4 linked regions of the Drosophila melanogaster genome follow. The protein of the gene in region 3 interacts with the protein of the main gene of each other region in a biochemical or structural test. Each region holds a gene or a part of one and is shown on either strand. Other genes may lie near its edges. The genes, in order: otu, CycK, Ubx and TfIIEbeta.

Evidence for each region.
Region 1: the proteins of Ubx (region 3) and otu form a complex in vitro, tested with the Drosophila melanogaster proteins (one study listed by BioGRID).
Region 2: the proteins of Ubx (region 3) and CycK form a complex in vitro, tested with the Drosophila melanogaster proteins (one study listed by BioGRID).
Region 4: the proteins of Ubx (region 3) and TfIIEbeta form a complex in vitro, tested with the Drosophila melanogaster proteins (one study listed by BioGRID).

Annotation. Positions count from the first base shown.
Region 1 is NC_004354.4:8,484,505-8,491,495, forward strand, and holds otu (ovarian tumor), read right to left. Parts: upstream 5,032-6,991; 5' UTR 4,870-5,031; exon of another isoform or gene 4,844-4,869; intron 4,619-4,843; exon of another isoform or gene 4,440-4,618; intron 4,349-4,439; 5' UTR 4,328-4,348; coding exon 4,100-4,327; intron 4,038-4,099; coding exon 3,940-4,037; intron 3,871-3,939; coding exon 3,716-3,870; intron 3,659-3,715; coding exon 3,263-3,658; intron 3,210-3,262; coding exon 3,073-3,209; intron 2,879-3,072; coding exon 2,753-2,878; intron 2,490-2,752; coding exon 1,245-2,489; intron 1,177-1,244; coding exon 1,000-1,176; 3' UTR 504-999; downstream 1-503. UniProt on the Drosophila melanogaster protein: Catalytic component of a deubiquitinase complex consisting of bam and otu. The complex deubiquitinates K63-linked polyubiquitinated proteins; this antagonizes the ubiquitination activity of Traf6 and regulates the IMD immune signaling pathway.
Region 2 is NT_033779.5:22,124,105-22,132,086, forward strand, and holds CycK (cyclin K), read right to left. Parts: upstream 6,039-7,982; 5' UTR 5,620-6,038; coding exon 4,417-5,619; 3' UTR 836-4,416; coding exon of another isoform or gene 678-835; 3' UTR 181-677; downstream 1-180. Other genes in the region: CG3651 (uncharacterized protein), read left to right, coding at 1-112, 678-835.
Region 3 is NT_033777.3:16,731,383-16,736,177, reverse strand, and holds the start of Ubx (ultrabithorax), read left to right. Parts: upstream 1-1,751; 5' UTR 1,752-2,714; coding exon 2,715-3,480; intron 3,481-4,795. UniProt on the Drosophila melanogaster protein: Sequence-specific transcription factor which is part of a developmental regulatory system that provides cells with specific positional identities on the anterior-posterior axis. Binds the consensus region 5'-TTAAT[GT][GA]-3'.
Region 4 is NT_037436.4:4,285,359-4,288,880, forward strand, and holds TfIIEbeta (transcription factor IIEbeta), read left to right. Parts: upstream 1-1,679; 5' UTR 1,680-1,791; coding exon 1,792-1,853; exon of another isoform or gene 1,854-1,925; coding exon 1,926-2,030; intron 2,031-2,105; coding exon 2,106-2,268; intron 2,269-2,328; coding exon 2,329-2,619; intron 2,620-2,675; coding exon 2,676-2,933; 3' UTR 2,934-2,991; downstream 2,992-3,522. Other genes in the region: CG1316 (uncharacterized protein), read left to right, coding at 67-173, 241-411, 489-560.

The sequences.
Region 1 (6,991 bases), on a different chromosome or scaffold from region 3:
TTTAACATGGGTTAGTTTTAGCAGGATAATGTTGACAGCTCAAAACATTTTCAATGTACTACATACTAAAGTAATCGTGATTGATTGAACTAATGAACCTTATAAATTTTCTAATATCTAATTTTCTTAGTTGTAAATACTTTTTGTTGTTTTTTTTTTCTTAGTTAGTATGCACTAATTTGATGTAATATGCTACAATATAAACCCATGCATTAAAAAACTATCTGCTTATCAAAAATAACAGCGTTTTCTAAAACTAACATAGACAAACAAATTATGACACAAATAAAGACAGTACATACAATAATAACAAACTTTTACAATGAAACTAAAGGATTACATCAGAGTTCTTTATCGTTTCGAAGATCAGCGTCGATGTGATGTGACGAGGTGAATCAAAGTAATCCAAGCCAATCCACACCTTTTGTTTGCTATCTGAAATCGCGCCGAAACACGAGAATACCACGTAATTGCAGCACCTGCAAAAGTCTTTTGTACATTTTGTCTCTTGCGCTGCAGTTGAATCTTGTTTTATTTATGGTTAATTTTTGATGGTACACTTTACATAGGTGAGTCTCTAGCCGAACAGCGAGCACATAAATATATATATATATATATATGTATATATATAGTAGATAGTATGTAGATATTTTTGGTTAGAAGGGTTTTAAATAAATCATATAAATAGGTGGTTCTTTGATTTCGTGACGGCTAACTTTAAAAAAATTCGCATAAAATTACGTTAAATTACATTTTTAAAATGAAGTTGGGTTGACATTTGCGTTAGGTTATGCAATCGATTGTTGTACAGAAGCTGAATGGTTTATGATAGAGCGCCAACGCTTATGGCCTATAAAAAGTTAACTACAAATTTAAAAGTGAGATTAAATTTTAAAAGCCGTTAATTGCAATGGAATGTAATGCCTTCGATCTGTATGGCCTCTCTCTTTCAAGTGATCTGTTTTTTGCCCCCGCTCCCTTTTTTTTTTCTTTCTTTGTTTAGTGATGACGCGTTGCAGCATAGACAGCTGCCGGCTGAGATTGGACAGATAAGGGAGCTGGTTGCAAGGTGGCTGGCTGCTGTTGTTGTGGCTGAGCCGACGGGTCCATGTTATAGTTGTTGATCACCTCATAGGGGGACACCACCGGAGCTGGCATGCCCCAGGCGTAGGGAGTCTAAAAATGGTCGAGTGTCGATTGCCTATAGAATATTTTGAATTTGTTAGTGCATGTATCACTCCTACCTGTCCTTGAGCTGCTCCCCCTAGCTGTGGTGGTCCCGCCTTGTGGTAGAATATCGGTGGCGGTGGCGGCGGTTGGAGCAACCTCGGCGGTGTTATCAGGTGATGATGCGGCGATGGAGTAGTATAGAAACTAAACTGACTGCCATTCGAGCTTGGCGATGGCGTTGGAGTGGGCAAAAATGCCGCTGGCCCCAGCGAATCCTTAATATCTTGCAGCTGCTCCGGACGTTTGCCGCGCACCTTAACCGAATTCAAATTGCGCTTGGCGTAGGCACTTTTCTCAAGCGGTGACTGCTCTGTGGCATTTGCCACCTCTGGCGAAGGTGGTGGTGTTGACTCCACGGCAGTCAAATTGTCCTCTGTGGCGCCAATGACTACAGTCCGTCCTGCCTGTTGATCAGTGTTGTTCTGCTGATGGTATCCAAACATTCCTAGTTCATCAGGCGGCGTGTGGTGCGACATGCGCCAATGCAAATCCACGCCCATGTTGTAGAAGTATCTCAAAGTCACCATATCCACGGGCAAATCTTCACCGTTTGGGTGTAGAGAACGACGTGGCTCGCCAATTCCGGTAACATTTAGCGGTGGAGAAGGAAGCGGCATAAATGGATGCGGTCCCGATAAAGCAACAGCTCCCGGTGGTGGTGGACCATAACCACCGAATGGCATGTATACACAACCTTCGGTTGGCGGTGGATGCGGGGTTCCTGAAATGGGGAACGGAAACTCCTCGGCAATAGCCATCGGAGATGCAGGCCAAGGTGGCGGTAAATGCCCAGGACGACTCGGTATCATTGGCACGTAATTCATATACTGAGTGGGTGGCGGGGCAGCCGAACCCGAAACCTCCTGGTTTTGGCTGGAACTCGAGTTCTGCGGCTGAACCCTTGATGCCTTCGTGCGCTGGTGTTGCTTCTGTGCCTGCGGTTCTTCACGATCCCGCTGCTCCGTAGTCGGGTTCTGGTCATTTTGTTCAGGATCATTATGATCCCGCTGCTCATCGTCCTGAATGTGCACACCCTGATAGCAATTGTCCACGGGCATGTAGGGCATCAAATCACACTTGCTGTGCTCAAAATACTGGTCCATTTCGAACAGCTTGTTCTTCTTCCATTTGGAAGACTTGTTGGCCTTACCGGCATACTTGGGCAACGGCAAGCGAGGCATCTGGCGATGATAGCGGAATGGCAACGACCATGGGCGGTACTCATCTGGCGGCAGGGGATGGAGCGATTCATACGGGACCTAAGCCAACAGATATGTTTGTATATTAGTAAGCTCTCTATTAAAGCGAAATAGTTACAATTAGCTTCGGATACCGAACATTTTTAGCCCTTGCAGATCAATTATTTTATAGACTTATATACCAGTTCATTGGGCCACAATTAATATACTTTTAACTAAACTTTAACAAATTTAACTAATTGTTAAATATGATAATCGTTTCTAATCGAAATTTTTGCATTTCTCTGCAAGGGTCTAGAAAATCAGATAAAAAGAAGAGGTACCACTATCTCTTTGCCAATCCTCTCAACAAAGACGTGGCAGTAATTCTTATCTTTGGAGATATTTTGAACGTGGCACGTGTACATCTCCGTTTCGTTCGGCAATTCCACCTTGCACTTGGCGCCCACCTGGAAAACAAATAACACGGCGACGAGACGAGGAAGGATAAGGCAAGACATACATGTATAGTAAAGTATAAGGTGTATCCAGTGTATAGATGAAAATGAAAGGGTGTTAATTTGGATGGGTGGTTGACATGAAACGTGTGTTGGTGTGCGTGTGTATGTGTGCTAACGATAATCCAATGTTCTGCACAGTTTACCTTAAAGTTATAGTCATTTATGTAGACATTATAAAGCTTGGCCTCCTTGCGCATATCGTTCCAGCAATCAAATTCTATATTACGATACATATAGGGGTCCATGGACTTGGCCACTTTGTAGGGAAACGGAGAGATACCTAAAAAGAGAGTATTATGTAAGCATTTGATGTTTGAAACCACCTCTACTGACCATCATCTAGCAGCTGGCGGACACAGGACTCCAATCGGTTTGGACACATGGGCAACAGATCGTTTGGTTCGTGGCCACTGCTGCCGGATGCCTTTCGCTCCTCCTGGTTTTTAATCTCCAGCCGGCCTCCCTTTCGAGCATTAATGCTCTGATTTCCATTGGTGCTATGGAAATTGCACAGCTTATAGTTTTCCAGTATGCAGTTTGTGTCCCCTGGCAGATCAAGCTTAAAAACTCGTCCATCGGTGCAATGAATGCGAACCATATAGCCCTTGTCATCGAACTCCACATTGAAGCGATCCCAATTGAAGGTGTGTGGATGCAACATAATCTCCACAGCAAAGGATACGTCAGGCAATTTGAAAAGCTTCTGGTACAGCAACTTAAAGGCGATTGCTGAAAGCAACGTACATATACAAAAAGCAAAATTGGATATATTAATAGGCTACGTACATTGACAAATGGCGGCTCTTTCTATATATTCAACGTCATAAACCGAATCAAAGTGATTCTCATTGTTGAAGAAGACACGGAAGTTTTCCGCATAGCGACGATTAAAAACGACGCTGGTGCCCATGTTGTAGGGCTCATACAGGATAACATTGCGGCTGGAAGTCGTACAGAAATCATATATATTTGTAGAATTTAATAGAAAATAGTAACTAAGGATTAATTACCGATATAGGCAGGACATAGCGCGTAGTTCTGTCATGGTTCCATATGTCTTGGGCTTGGACATGTCCTGCATGTAGCTATCGAAATCGCCAGGAATTTCCTGGGATATAAATAAAATTATTTCTTTTTTTTTTACAAAATGTGTGATTGTTAGAGGCCTACCTTCTCAAAGATGCGTCGTTTTAGGGTCATGAAGCGGACGCACTCTAGCCGAATCTCGTAGTGCAGCATCTGGGTGTCGTACATCTGCTCGGCGATCACACGGAACAAACTGGAGGCGTCCCGGGCCGTGTGCTTACGGTAGAGTCCACGGCTCTCCAGATACTGATCATACGGATCCGGGGCCTGCCGGCTGCCTGACGTAATGGGGCGCTGCACTTGCATGTCCATGGCGACTCTGGAATCGAGAAACTTAAATTTTATTCATTTCATTTTTTTTTTGTCATGTTTTCCCTTTGAAATACAAGTATTGCACAATTAACAGTTAGAAGAGGGCCCTGACCTCGATCTATTTGACCTTCACAATCACTTTTCAACTGCTATCTATTGTCGTTTCACTAAGAAGTGCGCATACTAAGCTTTATTACTTATTTTATGTTAACTATTGTATAGTTTTTTTAACTTTAATAGTTTTAAAGCAAATTTGCTGCAATACAAATATATTCCAATTATTAACCGACTCCATACAAGCCGGGCTTCAGAGCGAGATGACAATATGCACCTGCGAATTCAAGATGGCGCAGTAGAAAGGCAAATGAAGCAAAAGAGCAAAATTAAATGTGATGAAGCTGATGAAAATTAAATATTTGTTTAAAATTTAATGATTTAAAAGCCTCTCATGCTGCGCTTAATTAGTTAATTTCGTCACTTGACAAATTACCGTTACTATAAATGTTTCAACTAATACAGTTAAAATCGAATCGAGATATTACCGGTGTTCTGCTGTTCGTCTTCTGTTGTACAAATTCTATTTTTATAAATAGTTAACAATTAAATTAACAATTAAAAATAACACTGGCATCCGCACCTAGCACCGTTACACGAAGAATTGAAGCGAATGGCGCGATCTAGCCTTTCAGAGAACCCGCGAACTAGAATGCGAACGAAAAGTATAAGAACGAACTTCCAGTGCCTGGAAGGATGCCGACAAACGAAATTGGGCAATAGTGATGTGCGGAAATGAATCAATGGAGTTGGTTCGTGATTTTATCAACAAAATAAATATATCTGATCTTGTTGAATACTTTCTAAATGAAATACACAAGTGTATGATATACTTGAAATATATTGCTGAGCGGTTAAAAAACTCCTGTTATCGCCGTCTATCGATGACACCGATAGCGGCATCATCTGTTCCGTGTCATCCCCAAAAGTTTCTGTTACCTTCAAATTGTTCTTGTTACTGTCGTTGCTGTTGTTGCTGGCCCGCTTTTTAGGGGGTGGAAAATGCCGCTTTCCACACGGCGCACTGTTGTTCTTGTTCATCAGACTCAGTTCGAAATTGCGAGTCAATGAAGCCAGGAGCAAACTTTCAGTTCGCGCTGTTACCGCGACAAAAGTTGTCTGGAAGAGATGTGAGTGTGTGACTGTGTGTGCCTTTTGTTTTCCTGTTTTTTTTTTGTGTTTTTTGTGTTCTCGTGTAAAGTTATGTTTTTGTTTATTGTTAGTAAATGTCGTTAGTTGGTTATCTTGCGAGTGTGCAAAACGCAACGACTATGAATTCTATTTCCTCTCGGTGTTTCATCAACTTTACGCCATGTTCATCTGTTTCGTTTTCCTCCTCCTTCCATCGAATAATAATAACAAAGAGTTTTACATATGAAAATCACAGTCATTAACAAAAACAACACACGTGGACTCAACCACACACAACAATGGACATTTGTACATGCGATACACACATGCAAATAAACAACGTTATGAAATTGGAAGGAGTGCACAAAAGGAAGAAGTAGAAATGTGCGGTTATTTCATATCCAAGCAATGCCGTAAAAATCAATAGGAGCGACAAACAAAGCACGTGCTTGTGCGAGTGCGATGGCAAATCGATAAACCGTTAATCAAGTTTGTTGAACGCGTGTTCGCCCCGTCTCTCTCTCGCCTTGTTTGCGCCACCTCTCTTTCCCACACACGGCCCAACGAAATAATATTTCTTTGATTCCTTTTCGTTAATTCCACGATTTTCGATTAACTGGGTCAAATGGTGACATAGATATGATGTTCTTTTTTTTTGGGTGGTATTTCATTTTCCAGGTGCCGAGGTCAATGTCACGGACATTTCTGCAATGCCGTCTGCTGACCTTCGAACTTTGGTTCGTTTTTGTCAGCAATTAATTGATTAAATGATTCGGCCAATATATTGTCGGTCGTCTTATCAATATACCGATTATACAACTATCCTGTTCCCGCAACTATCTTATCACCAAAAACAAAATAAAGAAAATACAAAAATATAGGTCTCTTGAACCGGACTCGTCGGGCTCCCAGATAAGTGCTCCATTAGCTCCATCTCGCTTGCTCGCGGTTCTTGACATGTGTCCCTCAAACACGAATTAACGACTTAAACTCTTCATGTGATAAAAATCGACGTTCCTGTTTTCGAAAAACCATCACTTTGTTTTCCAAAATATAAAGGTCTTTAAAGCTTTATATCTGATATTGCATGGTATTTTATAACATCTAAATGTTGTTTTTATAAGTGGTTTCAAAATCTTGTGCTGTGTGATAATATTATATTAACGTAATTTCACAAATATGCGAAATGAAATGTTTGATGGTGTAGAAATACAAACAATACCAACCATCTTTGAAATAGCACAGTGAGTTTCTGAATTTGGGAACATCTCGAAAGTTGTCTTCTCTGCTTTTGTTGTTTTTTTTTTCTGATGCGATTGTTTGCCGGTCGGCGGCTAAGAATTTCCGTTTGCTGCTTTTAGTTGCCTTCGAACATTTTAGCTCGTCGCGTCTTTGCTGAAATAAAAAGGGGAAGTAAGAGGTAAAGCATACAGTCCAAACAAAACAAAGAGAATTTCGCTTGCCAAGAGAATCCGAAGC
Region 2 (7,982 bases), on a different chromosome or scaffold from region 3:
ACTGAATGGGTGCCTATAAATGTAAGGGACATACTTAATGCCTGGGCACGTTGTCGAGATCTTTCCCTCCTTCAGCAACTAGATGACCGCTTTCATTGCGCAAACGTGATGGGTAAGATGTTCTATAGAGTTGTTTTTTCATAGTTTGTATATAAAAGTTTTACTCGGTATTGATATATTACATATTTACATATTCAGTAAGAAAAATGTTTTCTAATCATAAAATAGAACGCTATAGTCGGCTTCGCCGATTTTAAGATACCCGTTACTCAGCTAGTAGAAATGCGATCGCGAAATTTCATAATTTTTCTGGAATATCGATAGATATACAAATATATATATATGGATTAGTAAGTATTGTTACCCCTGACACAGAGACACTAAACAAGTTCTTTTCTTTAATTGTAAACTAATGAAATTTTGCCAATATACGCAAGAGGGAAGCAATTTGACCTTAATTAGGCTAGTCCGTGAGACTACATAATTGCTACCCTAAGAACTTTAGGGAAGTCAATTAATGACGAGAGAATCTTATAGTCGATTTATTCAAATTTCAGATTTCCGTTACTTAGCCAGTGGGCGTAACAATTTTTGTAAGGTTAACGCAGAATACAAGTCATTTCAAATTGTATTAAATTGTTATTTTTTTTTACAAAATAACATTCTATTTTTTTCAGGAAAGGTTGGTCACATCGTGCGTCAGGCAACAGTAGCAGCATCCACACAAGCACAGGCATCGTCGTCAACCTCCTTTTGTAAACGCACCCTGCCCGAATATTTAATGATCCCGCAGTATTACATGAGTGGGGTACTGACTCTAACCCGCAAATGTTAGGACGTATTTGCACAACCACTCATTTATTTTCACATTAAGCCGGATACACATCATCTCTCTAGAAGTGCTTAGCCCAGTTTTATTGTTTAATTTTTTTTAATAAGTCATCTTCCATATTAAATCAGGTGATCGCATGGCCGTGACCCACCGCTTAAGTCGGGTTCAAAAGTCTCTCCGCTCTAAAAAAAAAAGAAAATAAAGAAACTCAAAGTTTAGTTGGTGTTTAAAGCTCAAAAATGTTTTCTATGTAGGCCATAATATACAGGTATCAATACAAATATATGTATCTGCCTCGCCTATCAACGCCTTATATTGTAATGTGCATATTTGTTTACGGAATACGTAATACATATGTATGTATGTACATATGTACATATACATATGTAATTATACCCGTTACTTGTAGAGTAGAAAGGTATACTAGAGTCGTTGAAACATATGTAACAGGTACATAGTTTTCCGGTCATATAAGGGAAATATATAGCATTCTCTCTTGTTTTGTTATTCGAATTTTGCATTAGATTGTTTTGCTAGCGAGTGAGCGCCATGCGTTAGAAATAATTGTGACACAGAAGCCTATTTAAAACAAACATGGCCAGCAAGGGTAACATAAGGTCACAGTTTTTTAATTGTTTGACAGCAAGAATTTTTAACGACTGCAATCCAAGTGCTTAAACTTTTCTCATAAGGCTGGCTGTGTTCTGCACGTCGTTCAAGGGCCGTGACGCAACATAATTGCTACTGCAGATTTTTGGATAATATAAATAAAAATAATATAATAAAAAACATTTTCTAACTCAACTCATCTCAGTTGATCATCATCTTCCTGAATTCTTCTTTCGTCTTCGTTGTTACCCGCCTTTCGTTTTTAATCTTACTTTAGCGTTATATATATATACATGTCTGAAAACAAAACAGTATGAGATACACACCACACATATATTGGAAAAAATATTTCTCGGATTGGTGGGCCAGCTCAAAGACAGGAAAAAGGCTCTACATTCGAATTAAGACAATCAGAATTTTATTATACTCTATGCTTTTTATAAGAAAGGGATCTTGCAAGCGGTTTATAACTACATTGAATTAGCTGATAAGTTTCTACTAAGAGTTCCCTGCGTATAGAACGACATATTTCTTGCTGGTCCAAATTTTTGTGTTGCTTTAAAACTCACAAGTTAGTTTCTAGCACGTATGAATGTCACTGTTACTTTACAACGAATCTAGTATACTCTCTCTATACGAGTCACGCGTATAGTTAGTAAGCCGGCTACTAAAAAACAAATCAAGAATTTCTGCTGTTTTAAATTTAAAATTCAATCTTCTTTAATTACTTATTTAACACTTCAACGGCCAGGAGAATGTTATTTTTCAGGTAAAAGTGTTAGTCCAACACGGACTATCGTTTTTCAGGTCGTGAACGACTTACTGGCATAAACATGTTCTGTCCAGTTGGCTATATAGCATTACCACTTACCCAAAATTTGTTGTCTTACACAATTCTGTTGGCATAAGCATATTATGTGAATCTTAACTCTTACTCTTAAGTACTGTTAGATTTACTCAATAAAATTAGTTGGAGTATTGACAAGTACGATCTTAATTTATTCCCTTCGACAGAGGTGGTCCTATATCATAACGACTTGAAGACTTGAACTGTACAGAACTGTATGCCAGGCATACTAGTAGAGCACAAACAAATGCAAACTTTTAATCCAGTCAGAACTGGCTTTTGTCTTTCACAAGGTCGACAAACGTGTAGATCCCTTGACAAAAACTCAGCTTCATTGGAAGTACCATAGCATTCTGGCGAAAAACATCAACGGAAGACCTTTCCTGCAACATATATGGCAATAAGTGGGTAGTGATCAGAACACAATGTAAATTTTAGTCTAATAGATTATGCCCTAGCTTTAAACCTTAATATATAATATAAAACTTTCCTTTTCCTATTGCACTATTTATTTAGATGTGTTATTTAGCCCTTGATAAAACGGCAATAAGTAATACTCTAAAGCTTATTCATATTCTTCATATTGATATTTATATAATATTTTATTATTTCTGAGAAATTATTTCTGCATTGAAAAATTTATGTATAACCGCAAAAATATTTTGTTAATTTTTTCGTGTTTTACCACTATATTTGCAATTGTTATAAAAATGAAGTATCCGAATACCTGGTCTAAATATAGCCAACTTACGGTAAAGCAACACTAGAATAATACCAAACTAAAATTATTTTGTTTAGTTAATTTATAAATTACTAAAATTATCATAGTGTCTTTGGTGAAATAGAGGTCCTTGGACCTAGAGCGCGGGAGAACTAAAAGTCAGCTAGATCTTTTAGCGAAAAGATCGAGACGTTTGTAACGAAGCAAGTCAACGAACTGAGACAAAGTAGTTGATGTTTCGAAAGCAGAGCGCGGTAAGTATCACATCAAAGAGCCTGGTTTCAGAGAAATCGACTTTATAAAATTTGAAAGATAAAAGGAAATTAATTATTTTTAACACCATTTAAAAATTAAATTAAATTGAAGAACATCGAACAAAGTCAATAATATTATTTTCGAACATTTTCGTCTTTAGCCTGGAAAACGAAACCGTTGGCCTACGACATAATTATATTTATAATAAACATACGAATCGAGGTAGCCTGGGCAGTCGTTATTATTCCAAGTGTACCATGGGCAAGAATAAAGTCCATGGAAACTGCAAAACTGCACTGTTGTTTCTGATAGCCGAGCAATCTTCGCACACTATGTATCATTCCAAAAATTATTCAAACATCTAAAGAGTTATTATACCCATTAATCGTAGAGTAAAAGGTGCAAGATTCGTTGTAAGTATGTATGTAACAGGCAGAAGGAAGCGTTTCCGACCATATAAAGTATATATATTCTTGATCAGGATCAATAGTCGAGTCGATCTGGCCATATCTGACTTTCCGACTGTCCGTCTGTCCGTATGAACGTCGAGATCTCATGAACTATAAAAGCTAGATGGTTGAGATTAAGCATACAGTTTGCGGAGACACATAGCGCCACACTATTTAAAAATTTTTAGATTTTTCTTCGTTTTATTGTTTGACTTGCCAATTTTTATCTGCATACCAAAAACACTGGCCACGCCCCTCCTTTTACATACAAAACCCCCAAAACTGCCACGCCCACACTTTTGAAAAATTGTTCTCACATATTTCTCATGTTTATCTTCCACTGTTATAAACTTCGCCGTTACTCCAATTCCGCTTTGTCTCAACGTTTCGCCAATTTTAATAAGAATCTATTTTTGTTAGTGCCCCAATGTCCAAAATATTTTTTTCTAGTTCATTTGGTTTTATTCAGTTTTGGAAACATCATTTCAGCAAAATTCTGCTAACAAGTACATGTGAAAGGGTAAGGACTTAAAATAAGGGAATAAAAATCATTGATAAATACCCCGGGACAATATTGGGCCTAGAGTGTAACCAAAAAAGAAAACCGAACCGTACGAAGATCCCCGCTCTAAATCCTATTCCGAACGGTTCGCTAGTTTTAATATACAAATTTTTTTTACTTGTTTATTAGTCATTGCATCTACTAGTAGCGCTGCTGCGATGGACGCCCACCGGCGTTGTAGTATCCACTGGCTCCTGGAGGCAAGCTAGGCGGCATTGGTGGTGGTGGTGCAGCGCTCCCGCTATAGTGTCCGACCACTGTCTGCTGGACTCCCCATCCGGAAGAGGGGTACGGCGGCATAGGCACTACCGGCGGGGGCGGCGGTGGAGGAGCATGATAAATGTGGTACCCGGATGGCTGACCTGGTGGTGTTGGGCCCTGTAACAGGTTCTGGGAGTCGCTAGGACCAATGATTGGCACGCCACTGGCTAGGGATTTAATGCTCTGAATGTTGCTAACTTCCAGCACGCCACCGTTGCCACATACGGGGGGCGGCGGCTGTTGTGGAACGGAAAGTGGTCCAATACCCGTAGAATTGGTAAGCTTGCCGGATTTTGGACTGTCGGCTCTGCTTGGTGGCTTTTGGGGCGGACTGGTTGGCTGGAGCGCTTCTTTTTGGGTTGATTGGTACAGGTCCAGAACTTGGTGGCAGATGTCTTCGAGTATTTCCATCGTTACATCAGACACAAACATATCCCACCAACGCTGCTGCTGTGGCTGGCGGCCCTCCCAGTCTTGCACAGTGAATTTGCTTAGCTTGCTGGCCAAATGGATAAGAGCCACGGCGATAATCTCCGGCTCCCACTGTAGACAAACTACTGTGCTGAGAGAGTCGTTGACGAAGTTCCACGCCATTTGCACCATCTTTTGCAGCTTCTGCTGGTCGCCTTTGAAACACTTAGCGTACTTTAGGAGAAAGGTGTAAGGATGCTCTACTTGCAAATCGAATTTGATGGTCTGCAGCAGAATACGCTCTAGCGTCATCACCTCCTCCTTAGGGTCGTCGCCAAACGAGTAGAAGTAATTGTCGGTAAGGATGCCACGCGCAGTTTTAATAATGTCGCGACACTTCTTTGGCGTCTCCTCCACCTTGCCAGCAAAGAACAGGCAGCAGCACGCAGTCACGTACCGGGGGAAACTCCGGAACGAATGAAACATGTAAAATCGGTGAAAATATACAACGCCGGTGGCCATCGTGTTGTGGCCCAAGCCCATTTTGGTGCCACATTCCATAATAAATCGAGCACCTTCTTTTCTGTACCGCCGCTCCGTTTCGAAGCTTATTCCATCCAAGATCGAGGGCGTCTCCCGCAGCTCCTTTTTGTCGTAATACCAGCACGGCATCGCGGCAATTTAGGCTGCGGGTACTACCAGTAGTCCGCGTCGTTGGAAGGAATTTGTGTTAAACCTTTAGCCAAATGGTTGTCAGCATATGCGCGTCCTGGAGCCGATAAGCGCTTTTGTTTATTGTAAATAAATCAGTTTTCGATTTTTATGTTCACTTGCAGTGTTACCATGTCTACGACGATGAAGAAAAAAACTTTATTGGAAGCCCCTTTTACACCAAGACCACGACGATTTTGAGTATATGGAACAACTTTATTGGTAAATAGATAACGCAAAAATTTTCGATCTCTTGCGGGTCAAACTGAATATTTTTTGTGCGTTTGCTAGTTTTGGTGACTTAATTTTGGGATATAATTAAACAGATATATTTACACGTGGTTTTGGCCGTCCTTTGACTGTTACGAGGAACAAATGGGATGTTTACACTGGAATCGCATTTCCATGTTTTGGAGATATCAAACCAAGCATAGGGATTAGTGATGGGAATTGCGCAATTTGTTTTGTTGTTAAATGGTATATTGAAATAATTCATTATGTATAATCCTACTGGATAACAAGTATTTCAATTTAAAGCATAGATAGCATTCGTTAAACATTATAAAATGTAATAACAAGATTATGAGCAGTGTAAGCGCTTTCTATTTAATAGTAATTACTTCTAGTAATGTGGTGATGAATTTATTATAACCGTTAGTCGTATTTTCGTATTCCGACCATTTAAGGTATATATATTCTTGATCAGGACCAATATCCTAGTCGATCTGACTATAATTTAATTAGTCTTTTTAATTTCTATCGATTTGTCAATAAAATTTTTGCCACGCGCACTCTAACGCCCTAATGCCACACTTTGGAACAATTTTGAAATTTTTTATCATTTTATATCCCATTATCTATCGATATTCCATAAAATTGATGCAATTTCGCGTTTGTATTCACACTAGCTGGTAACGGTTATTTGATAGCCTTGGAACTCGACTATAGTATTCTTTCTTTTATTATTAATATAAACGCGAGTGATGGCACTATAATTTTATTATGTTTCTATATTTTTTATGTTTCTATAATGTGTGTTAAATTCTTAAAAATCGATATATATCACTCAAATTACATAATAATGGAAAACCGAAACGTGAGCTTGATAGAGCGAAACAACCAAATCAGTCGAGATGCTTCTTTTTAACGTAGAAAATGTTATGTATATTTTTCTTTGAATCATGCACTTAGGCTAGTGAACATATTTTCAAACCTTACCGCTCAAGTGATCATTGACTTAAATAAAATTTTACAAAACTCAAAGAACATCCAGCAGCACGCAGACACGTATCAGGGGAAACTCAAGAATGAATGAAACACGTAAAATCGGTGAAAATATACAACGCCGGTGGGGATCGTATTGTTTTAATAATATTATATTTTTTAATGAAGTACAGATAATATGGAATTGACTTTGATTGAATTTAAAAATGTATATTAAAATTTATCAGTGATAACAAACATTTTATATTTCTTTCACCAAGTGATTCAGTATATGTATACAATTCTAGTATTTTAACTTCTATTTAACGAGCACTTAGGGAATGTGAATTTCCGTCATTCGACTGCGCCAATTGCATGCTAAGTATTTGGTTGCGGTTAACAACCAAGGCCGGAGTACCCCCAACGTTGAAAACTATCTACGTCTCACAAGACAAGCAATTACGATCTCGAACTTCAAAAAGGTAAACAAACCCAAATGTTGTGCAAATTCTAACGTTTGATCACCCCTGATCGCAGATTCCGTCTATGCGGATTGTGTTGTTATCCTGGGAAAGCTACAAATACCGCGTATAAATTTGCTATATTCGTAATTGGGTTCGAAGCTAAGCGATGCCCAGCCTACCAGTTCGGCGTACACGGAAGGATTCCCAATTGGAGAACGATGACGATCTTGGTCGTATTGCCCAAATTTATCCCACCTATGCTACACTCAGGTAGATATTTTTGGATCAGCCGCAAATTTCCTGGCTTGGCTATGTCAAATGACTTAATCGACATTTGATTTCACGGTTTTATTTATACGGACATACATACATGTATTTCATATTTTAAAATATACATATTTGCCTTATTTAAAAAATAATAATTAATGCTTACTGACTAGTACCTTCCGATTTTGTTTAAAATAAACACGTAATTATTATCTCCTAAAACTAGTGCAGGCTCACAATTACCACCTGCCTTTCAAAAATGACTTAAAGATAAAGAAATGTGAAAAATTCATTTACTCACTAATTTGAAACTTAAACTAATAATATACACACATTTGTAATATTTTAAGCATAAGAAAAGTTAGTATGCATTCAATTTTATTGTTTGTG
Region 3 (4,795 bases):
CCCCATTGCATACCCCACCATAACGTAGCAAGTTTGAATATACTCGTACCCGTAAGATTCCCGAGTATATTAGGTAGCAAAATTTTTACGAGCTCATTATGGCTCATTTCGGCGATTGTTGTGATCCTTTTATGCGCCTTCGAATGGCTTCAAATGGTTATGAGGCTATTTCTCTGTCATCCCCGCGAGTCCTTCGCACTCGTGTCCTTCCCCTGGGTCCCAAATGCGGGATAGCGAGTTTCTGGGTCCTGGATTCCCGACTCACGATATTTAGTTTGCAGTTGCGACTGCGATTTTTACTTTACTTTTGCTTTGCTCTGGGTCTTCTCGCCTTTTGGCTTCGCTTTTCCTTGGGCTTTTGGTCGCATATTTAGAAAATGTCGCCGCGTCTCCGAATGTGATTCAAGTGTTTGTCAGTGTGTGTGTGTGTGTGTGTATGTGGTGGTGCGTATCTGTGTTTTGTGCAAGTTTTTGTATCTTTCGCTTGTTGTTGATTTTTAAGACTTGGCACCGAAAATTTGGTCGGCGGAAAATGGCGCGAGCAGGGGTTGGAAAAGTAGAAAAGTAAATTTCTTCTTATAATAAGTTTATTTTGCAAACACTTGTGGCAAGCAACTTTGTTTGGTCGCCGTCGGTTTCTGGCTTAATCTACGAGCCGTTTGTGCGAATGTGGAAACTTTGACAAATATTTGCGAAACTTTCGCGAATGGCGCGGCGTTCTCGGTCTGCAAGACCCCGATCTATTTGCATTATGCATATGAATTTATTAGCATCAATTCCCACCATATTTACATTGACATTAATATCCCATTGAAAGTATTGGCGAACGGATTGAACATTTGGATTCGAATGCGAATTTGAATTTGAATAGGAAAAGGAAAACCGCAGCACACAAATTTTCCGGATCCCTGGCTTCTATTACCGTACAATGCCGAGTTGGGGTTGACTTATTATCAATAAACTAATGCTAAACACGAGACTTTTAATAAATAAAAAATAATGTCTTCATTAATATATTATAATTCGTTTTTAAAGGCCTAATAAAGCCTTTAAGTGATAAGTATCTTTTTATGCCATACCACATTGAATTAAGCTTATAGTTTTTGAGGTAAAGGTAAAAACGATTAATTTACTAATATTTTTCTAAATTGTGAAACAATTTATACGATATTTACTTCCATAGAAATTAAATTAATAATTACAATATTCCGACTATTCTAATAAATATATTTTTTAAAACAAAAACTTTTTTGCACTTCGTTGTGTGCAAATTATTCCCCAAAATATTGAACAATTAAATAATGACCAGCTTAAACTGAATAGAATTAGATACAAATAATTTGCGTAAGCCATATTCTAGCACAAAGATTGGGAACTGAAACTGTAGTCATAAGTGCGCTAAAACCGAGCAAATACGGGATGCGCATCGTTTGGCGTGCAACTGGCAACTGGCGGGCAGCCCGTCGAGCGTTTTTCGCCACTCAGTTGAAGGAAAATCAGCCCTCCTCCATGATGAATTTCCCGCGGCGAGCGCATTTTCCTTCCTCGCGAATGAATGAACGAGAGGCGCCCACCCCGATAAACTTAAACTGAACGAACACTCAAGAGAGAGCGCAAGAGCGCTCAAAAACAATCTGGTTTTGAGCGTTTCGCTGGCTCTCTGTTTCTGTTTTCCACTCGTTTTTAGGCCGAGTCGAGTGAGTTGAGTCGGCAGAGCAAAGTCAAAACACTGGCAACTGCGATTTGGTGCCACATTCGTTCGATGGCAACGGATTGGATAACAGGCGCGCGCTTTGTTTTATTATCCACATTATCAGCGGCATTATTGTTATTATTGGCCCTCAGCGCTTTACCGCTCGCCCACGCGTCCGCCCGTGAATGCCGCGCGGAAAAGTCGCTTTCCACTAGATTGGCGTCCAGATTCGAGGAAATCCGTCAGCAGACGCATTCGCGCCCGTTCGGTCAGCACTATGGCTAATAATCGTTCAAATCGTTAAAACCATAAAAATAATAATAATAATTGCAATAACAATAAACATAGTAATAATCGTAACGCTTACGAGCCTTTGATAGTGCCAAGGCAAGCGCAATCCAAGTATTCAAATTCGAATTCAATTAACAGCAAAGTGCAATTGGCTAAAAACCGAAACCAAAACGCAACAAAGTATACGAAACACTTGTGAAACCGTACAAACAATTGTGGAAAAAAATTTAAAGATTATTAAGATTGAAGTCTCAATAAACATTAGTGCTTAAATAAATTTAAAACGACCCGCGTGGAGAGTGCAATAAAAAGAATAACTTTTGAAATAAATATTTACCAAACAGAAAAATATTTTATAAATATTTAAATAAGTGAAAAACAAATTGGTTACTCTGAAACAAAGAAAATTCAAATTGGTGCTAAAACAAAGGAGAAAAAATTTCAAGAATATTTTACAAATAATAAGACATATTTAACTATATAAAACCAAACTTAATCAACAAAGACTTGGAGTGAAAATATAAAATAAATTTTAAAAAGAGTTTAACAAAATTTGTTTAAATCCAAAGGAGGCAAAGGAACAGCACAGAAAGCGAGGAAACACTCAAATAAAATCCGCCAAAAATCGCAGATCCCTGGAAACCAATTCGTGTGAAATCGGTCAAGCCCCCAACGACTTTTAGCCCGTCTCAGACGGAGCACCGCCAAGATTCTTACCGCCAGCAGCGCAATGAACTCGTACTTTGAACAGGCCTCCGGCTTTTATGGCCATCCGCACCAGGCCACCGGAATGGCAATGGGCAGCGGTGGCCACCACGACCAGACGGCCAGTGCAGCGGCGGCCGCGTACAGAGGATTCCCTCTCTCGCTGGGCATGAGTCCCTATGCCAACCACCATCTGCAGCGCACCACCCAGGACTCGCCCTACGATGCCAGCATCACGGCCGCCTGCAACAAGATATACGGCGATGGAGCCGGAGCCTACAAACAGGACTGCCTGAACATCAAGGCGGATGCGGTGAATGGCTACAAAGACATTTGGAACACGGGCGGCTCGAATGGCGGCGGGGGTGGCGGCGGAGGCGGTGGTGGCGGCGGAGCGGGCGGAACAGGTGGAGCCGGCAATGCCAATGGCGGTAATGCGGCCAATGCAAACGGACAGAACAATCCGGCGGGCGGTATGCCCGTTAGACCCTCCGCCTGCACCCCAGATTCCCGAGTGGGCGGCTATTTGGACACGTCGGGCGGCAGTCCCGTTAGCCATCGCGGCGGCAGTGCCGGCGGTAATGTGAGTGTCAGCGGCGGCAACGGCAACGCCGGAGGCGTACAGAGCGGCGTGGGCGTGGCCGGAGCGGGCACTGCCTGGAATGCCAATTGCACCATCTCGGGCGCCGCTGCCCAAACGGCGGCCGCCAGCAGTTTACACCAGGCCAGCAATCACACATTCTACCCCTGGATGGCTATCGCAGGTGAGTGTCCTGAAGATCCGACCAAAAGTGAGTGTCCACTGCAGCACAAGTCCACTGAAAGTCCCCCGAAATCCCATCCCTTCTGTCCTCATCCCTGCAGTGCCAAAGCTTTGTTGTTTTCCCAGTTGTTATCAAGCTCAACAGATTGCAGCTATGGCAACAAAAGTCATCCTGTGATTAATTGCCGTCTCTGCTCCAATTAACAGACAAGTCAACATGTAAGGCAATATAATGAAGAGCTCGAATCGATCATGGGAAAAACAGATAACAACTTGTAATGTAAGACATATGAAAGCAGGCAGAACAGACCTTTTTATGGCAGGTTCTTAGGGAAAAGACACAACACCTTATTGGCAATCAAAAACTTTAAGCGATTTAAAAAAAACAAAAACTAAGAATGTATTATGGTTATAGGAAGCCAAAAAACAGTCCTAGTTAATATTGTGTATATTCAAATTGGCTGAAAAGTTTAGAAAAAAAGATGTGATAATACTTGGTAAAAAAATTAAAAATTTTAATAAAAAATAGTAAAATTATATTCTTCAGAGGAAAAAAATTAGGACAAGTATTTTAGATTTATTAAGTGTTAAAAAGGCAAAAACCCCCTTGGCTAACTCAAAATTATTTTCCAATAATTCTATTTAAAGGCACCCATTTGCGTGGCCATAGTTTATTCGCTGGCCGCCAATTTCAGCGATTTAATCACTCTAAGCGAGATTTTATGGCTGTGATCTCGCTTAGAGTGATTAAATCGAGTGAAGAGCCATGAGTAGCTAAAATAAAAAAATAAAAAAAACCAGCTCAGACCCTTCGATTTCACCTGCTCCGCTCCGCGACACCTTGCAGCGCTACGTCTGCCTCATAATTTTCAACACTTTGTTTACTAATTTTTGTCACCTTTGCTTTTAATGATGCTCGGCGGTAATTGTTGCAGCGCTGGCAGCCCAAGTGAGCTGCAATTTGTGCAACAAGAGAGCGGCAACGAGCAGCGTGAGTTATGGCATGCGGCTTAAAAAGAGCTGCAAAATAGCAACGGAGAAGTCAAGAAATAGCAAAAGGCAGCAAAGGCAGCCACAGGAGTCGGCGAGAAAGGGCAAGAATCCTTTCAGGACACACACTGCGCGCAGAAGTCGCGCTTATTACGGTTAACTACGCCATTATGTAATTACGTTCAGCCCCTCACCGCTCGACTTTTCCACGGGTTTCAGTCACCAGCCGAGCGAGGCGAACGGCTTGCGTCTGGGCCGAGATTGCCGTTTGGGCCAAGAACAAAGCCAAGAGTAGGTCAGCCGAAGGAGGTCTAGGTGCTCGAAGATCGAACGTAAACTGCACTCAAGCTGGC
Region 4 (3,522 bases), on a different chromosome or scaffold from region 3:
GCACATTTTTGGCTTAAAATGCATGATATTTCCTATTTCTAGACTTAATGTGGTTTTTTATTTTAGAGCGAACCAAAAAGGATGCCATCTGCAATGTTCCCTTGCCCCCAACTCAGCCACTGGCATCGCCGGACGACCAGGTGGCCCAACGACTGTTCATTGTGCTCTCAGCGGTAGGTATCACTGTACCGTGTCCAATTACCATTAGCTATAAACGTTGTTTCTTTCCCATCTACTCAGAACTTGCCGCATTCGATATTGAAGAACATATTCTCTTGCTGGTCGGGACTGATCGACGTCTACCTTCTGCCCAACAAGAACTGTGGCTACGTCAAGTATGCGGAGGTTGAGAGTGCTCAATTGGCCATTCGTACCCTAAACGGAGCCGAAATTTGCGGCACCAAAATCAAGGTTTGTACCGTGTACTCATGTTCTGTTGCTGACAAGCAAGCAATTCTAATCAATTTTAAATTTTTATCTTACTTTAGGTCATGGAGGCTGAGGAGCGAAGTGGCTCCGACGGCGATGATGGCGGTCGCAAGCGATTGAGACGGAACTGAGTGTAAGTAGCTAGTTGAGTATGCATAAATTCCGTATCTATTAATGTAGCCATAATTGAACTGAGTGTGTGCCGTGGTACGAGGTAAGTAGCTGTGCAAATTCCAAACCGAAAACCTTTTAGCGATTTAAGACAATGTGCGCCTGCTGCACTTGCCCTGTGCACCGGTTGGCCATCGATGTCCACGATACCCATGCCGCCCACTGAGCGCGAACATAATAAGCCAAACCATTTTTATCTTTCTATCTCCACAGACCCACTGACAACCAAGAACTTACAGAGAACGCAATGTACGAAAACGTAACTAACTTGAGCATACAGTCCGATAAAAACAGTTGAACTGACCACCAACCACCAAACAACGCAACAACCAACCAATAACCAAACAAGAACCACCACCACAACAACACTCTCCGTACGGAATGCCACATGAACCAGAACCACGGGGACTGGAGAACGCAGACTGGAAACGGAAACTGCGAACGAAGACCATACCCGGGTGAACAAACCAAACAGGCCAACGAAATCACCACACCCGTTGACTACTCTCTACCAATTGACTAACTCAAGTGGGTCTCGTACAGAGCACTCGTAGAAAGACCCATAACCCATACGACCTTTAAACGGAGCCAACGAAACCGCAATGCTCTTGCTATATACACAATATATGCATAGTGTCGTATATATGTGTACTCATACCGCTTAGGGGACTTTTGAATCTACCCGTGATACAGAAACGAACTCTCTGTGTAACTTGAACTCTTACAAACTTATTCCGACGAGATTCAGCCAAGCAATAAATTCAAACGCAATGAATTTCTTAAGAGTATCAACTCTGTCTCGTAAATTCACGCTAAGCCACAGCGTGAAAAATTATTCTTTTCATATATTAGATTTAAATAAACGATATTCTACTGTATAAGGCCAACAATAAATACACTTAAATGGAATAATGTTTTTTTTTTCTTTGGAAGCGAAATGGGAAACAAATTAATTCTCGCTATGCAGATTTTCCATATATATATAATAAATTTTTTTTTAAAAGCGAATGGACTTTTTGAAAGGTCGTTAAATGAACCAGTTCCGAAATGTACAACTTCAGTGTCGCAGCCCTGGTAAGTTCCGGTTCCACGGACAGCTGAGCAGGCATTGTTTAGATTTTGTAAATTGTTGATTTCTCGCAGCAGAAAGTTTTTTTTCGTAGAGCTAAATAATAAAAAAAAACATTCGAAATGGATCCAGCACTGCTTCGCGAACGCGAGGCCTTCAAAAAGCGGGCGATGGCCACGCCCACGTGAGTACCGCACTTGTGGCCCCTCTGATAAAGATTGCTTCTCGAAAATTACATGCTATCCTTTTAAAATAGCGTGGAAAAGAAGTCCAAGCCCGATAGACCAGCTCCACCGCCGCCTAGCGATGATTCCAGGCGCAAAATGCGCCCGCCCAATGCTCCCAGGCTGGATGCCACAACGTAAGTTCCTTGAGAGCCTCTGCTACTGCCAGAAATGGTTCTTAACCATGTGGAACTCTTGCATTCCATACTTAGATACAAGACCATGTCCGGCAGTTCCCAGTACCGCTTTGGAGTGCTGGCCAAGATTGTGAAATTCATGCGCACACGTCACCAGGACGGCGACGACCATCCCCTGACCATCGATGAGATTCTGGACGAGACCAACCAGCTGGACATTGGGCAATCCGTTAAGAATGTTAGCTACAGTGCGTGATAAGTTGTGGCAGGTTATTAAACCATTATTCCTCTATTTTAGTGGCTTGCTAGCGAGGCTCTGCACAACAATCCCAAGGTGGAAGCCAGTCCATGTGGCACCAAGTTCAGTTTCAAGCCAGTCTACAAGATCAAGGATGGCAAAACGCTGATGCGTCTGCTCAAGCAACATGATTTAAAGGGCCTGGGCGGCATTTTGCTGGACGATGTCCAGGAATCTCTACCACACTGCGAAAAGGTGCTGAAGAACCGATCAGCCGAAATACTTTTTGTTGTTAGACCCATTGACAAAAAGAAGATTTTATTTTACAATGACAGGACTGCTAATTTTTCGGTGGGTTATAAACACACTCTTCTAAAATCCCAGCCTAATCAATTGTACCGTCTCAGGTGGACGACGAGTTCCAGAAGCTATGGCGCTCGGCTACGGTCGATGCAATGGACGACGCCAAGATTGACGAGTACCTCGAGAAGCAGGGCATTCGCTCCATGCAGGACCATGGCCTCAAGAAAGCAATTCCCAAGCGCAAGAAGGCGGCCAACAAGAAGCGGCAGTTCAAGAAGCCCAGAGACAACGAACATTTGGCCGACGTTCTGGAGGTCTACGAGGATAACACACTAACGCTGAAGGGTGTGAACCCAACGTAGAATAGAGACATTAGATTATACAAATAAAAACCACTCTCAATGGAATTAAGTACACTCGAAACTGGATGTTATAAATTTGTTTAACCACTGCCAATCTAATTAAGAATCCGCTGTGGCCGAAATCTCATTCCTCAAGATTTATAGTACCAGATTGCTGTTCTGCCTGTGGCATTGAACTTAAAAATATGACGACCGGCACAGGGAAAGATAATTAAAAAGCAAAACTATGTAATCTTTTCCTGACATTCCCCATTGCTTTCCACACCTGATGGCTGGTGGTGTGCGTGTACGAGGGCCAGAATCGATGCTGGTGGGCAGTTAAATTGGCAACAGAGGGAAGCCGTAGCTTTAGTCTGCACTGAACAGCAGCCAAGTTCAGTTGGAATCGATTTGGAATAACCTATATTTTGGTACGGCGGTTGTGCGGGCTTATCAGGAAAATTATCTATATATTGGACTCTACAAATCTAAAAAAAGATTGTGTTGCTATTTGTAATCTATTAAGATTATAACAAGAGATCCGATATTCAGTATAGACAAAAATATAGCTCATACGACTCGTAAATCAGTCATATTGCAAACTATCGTT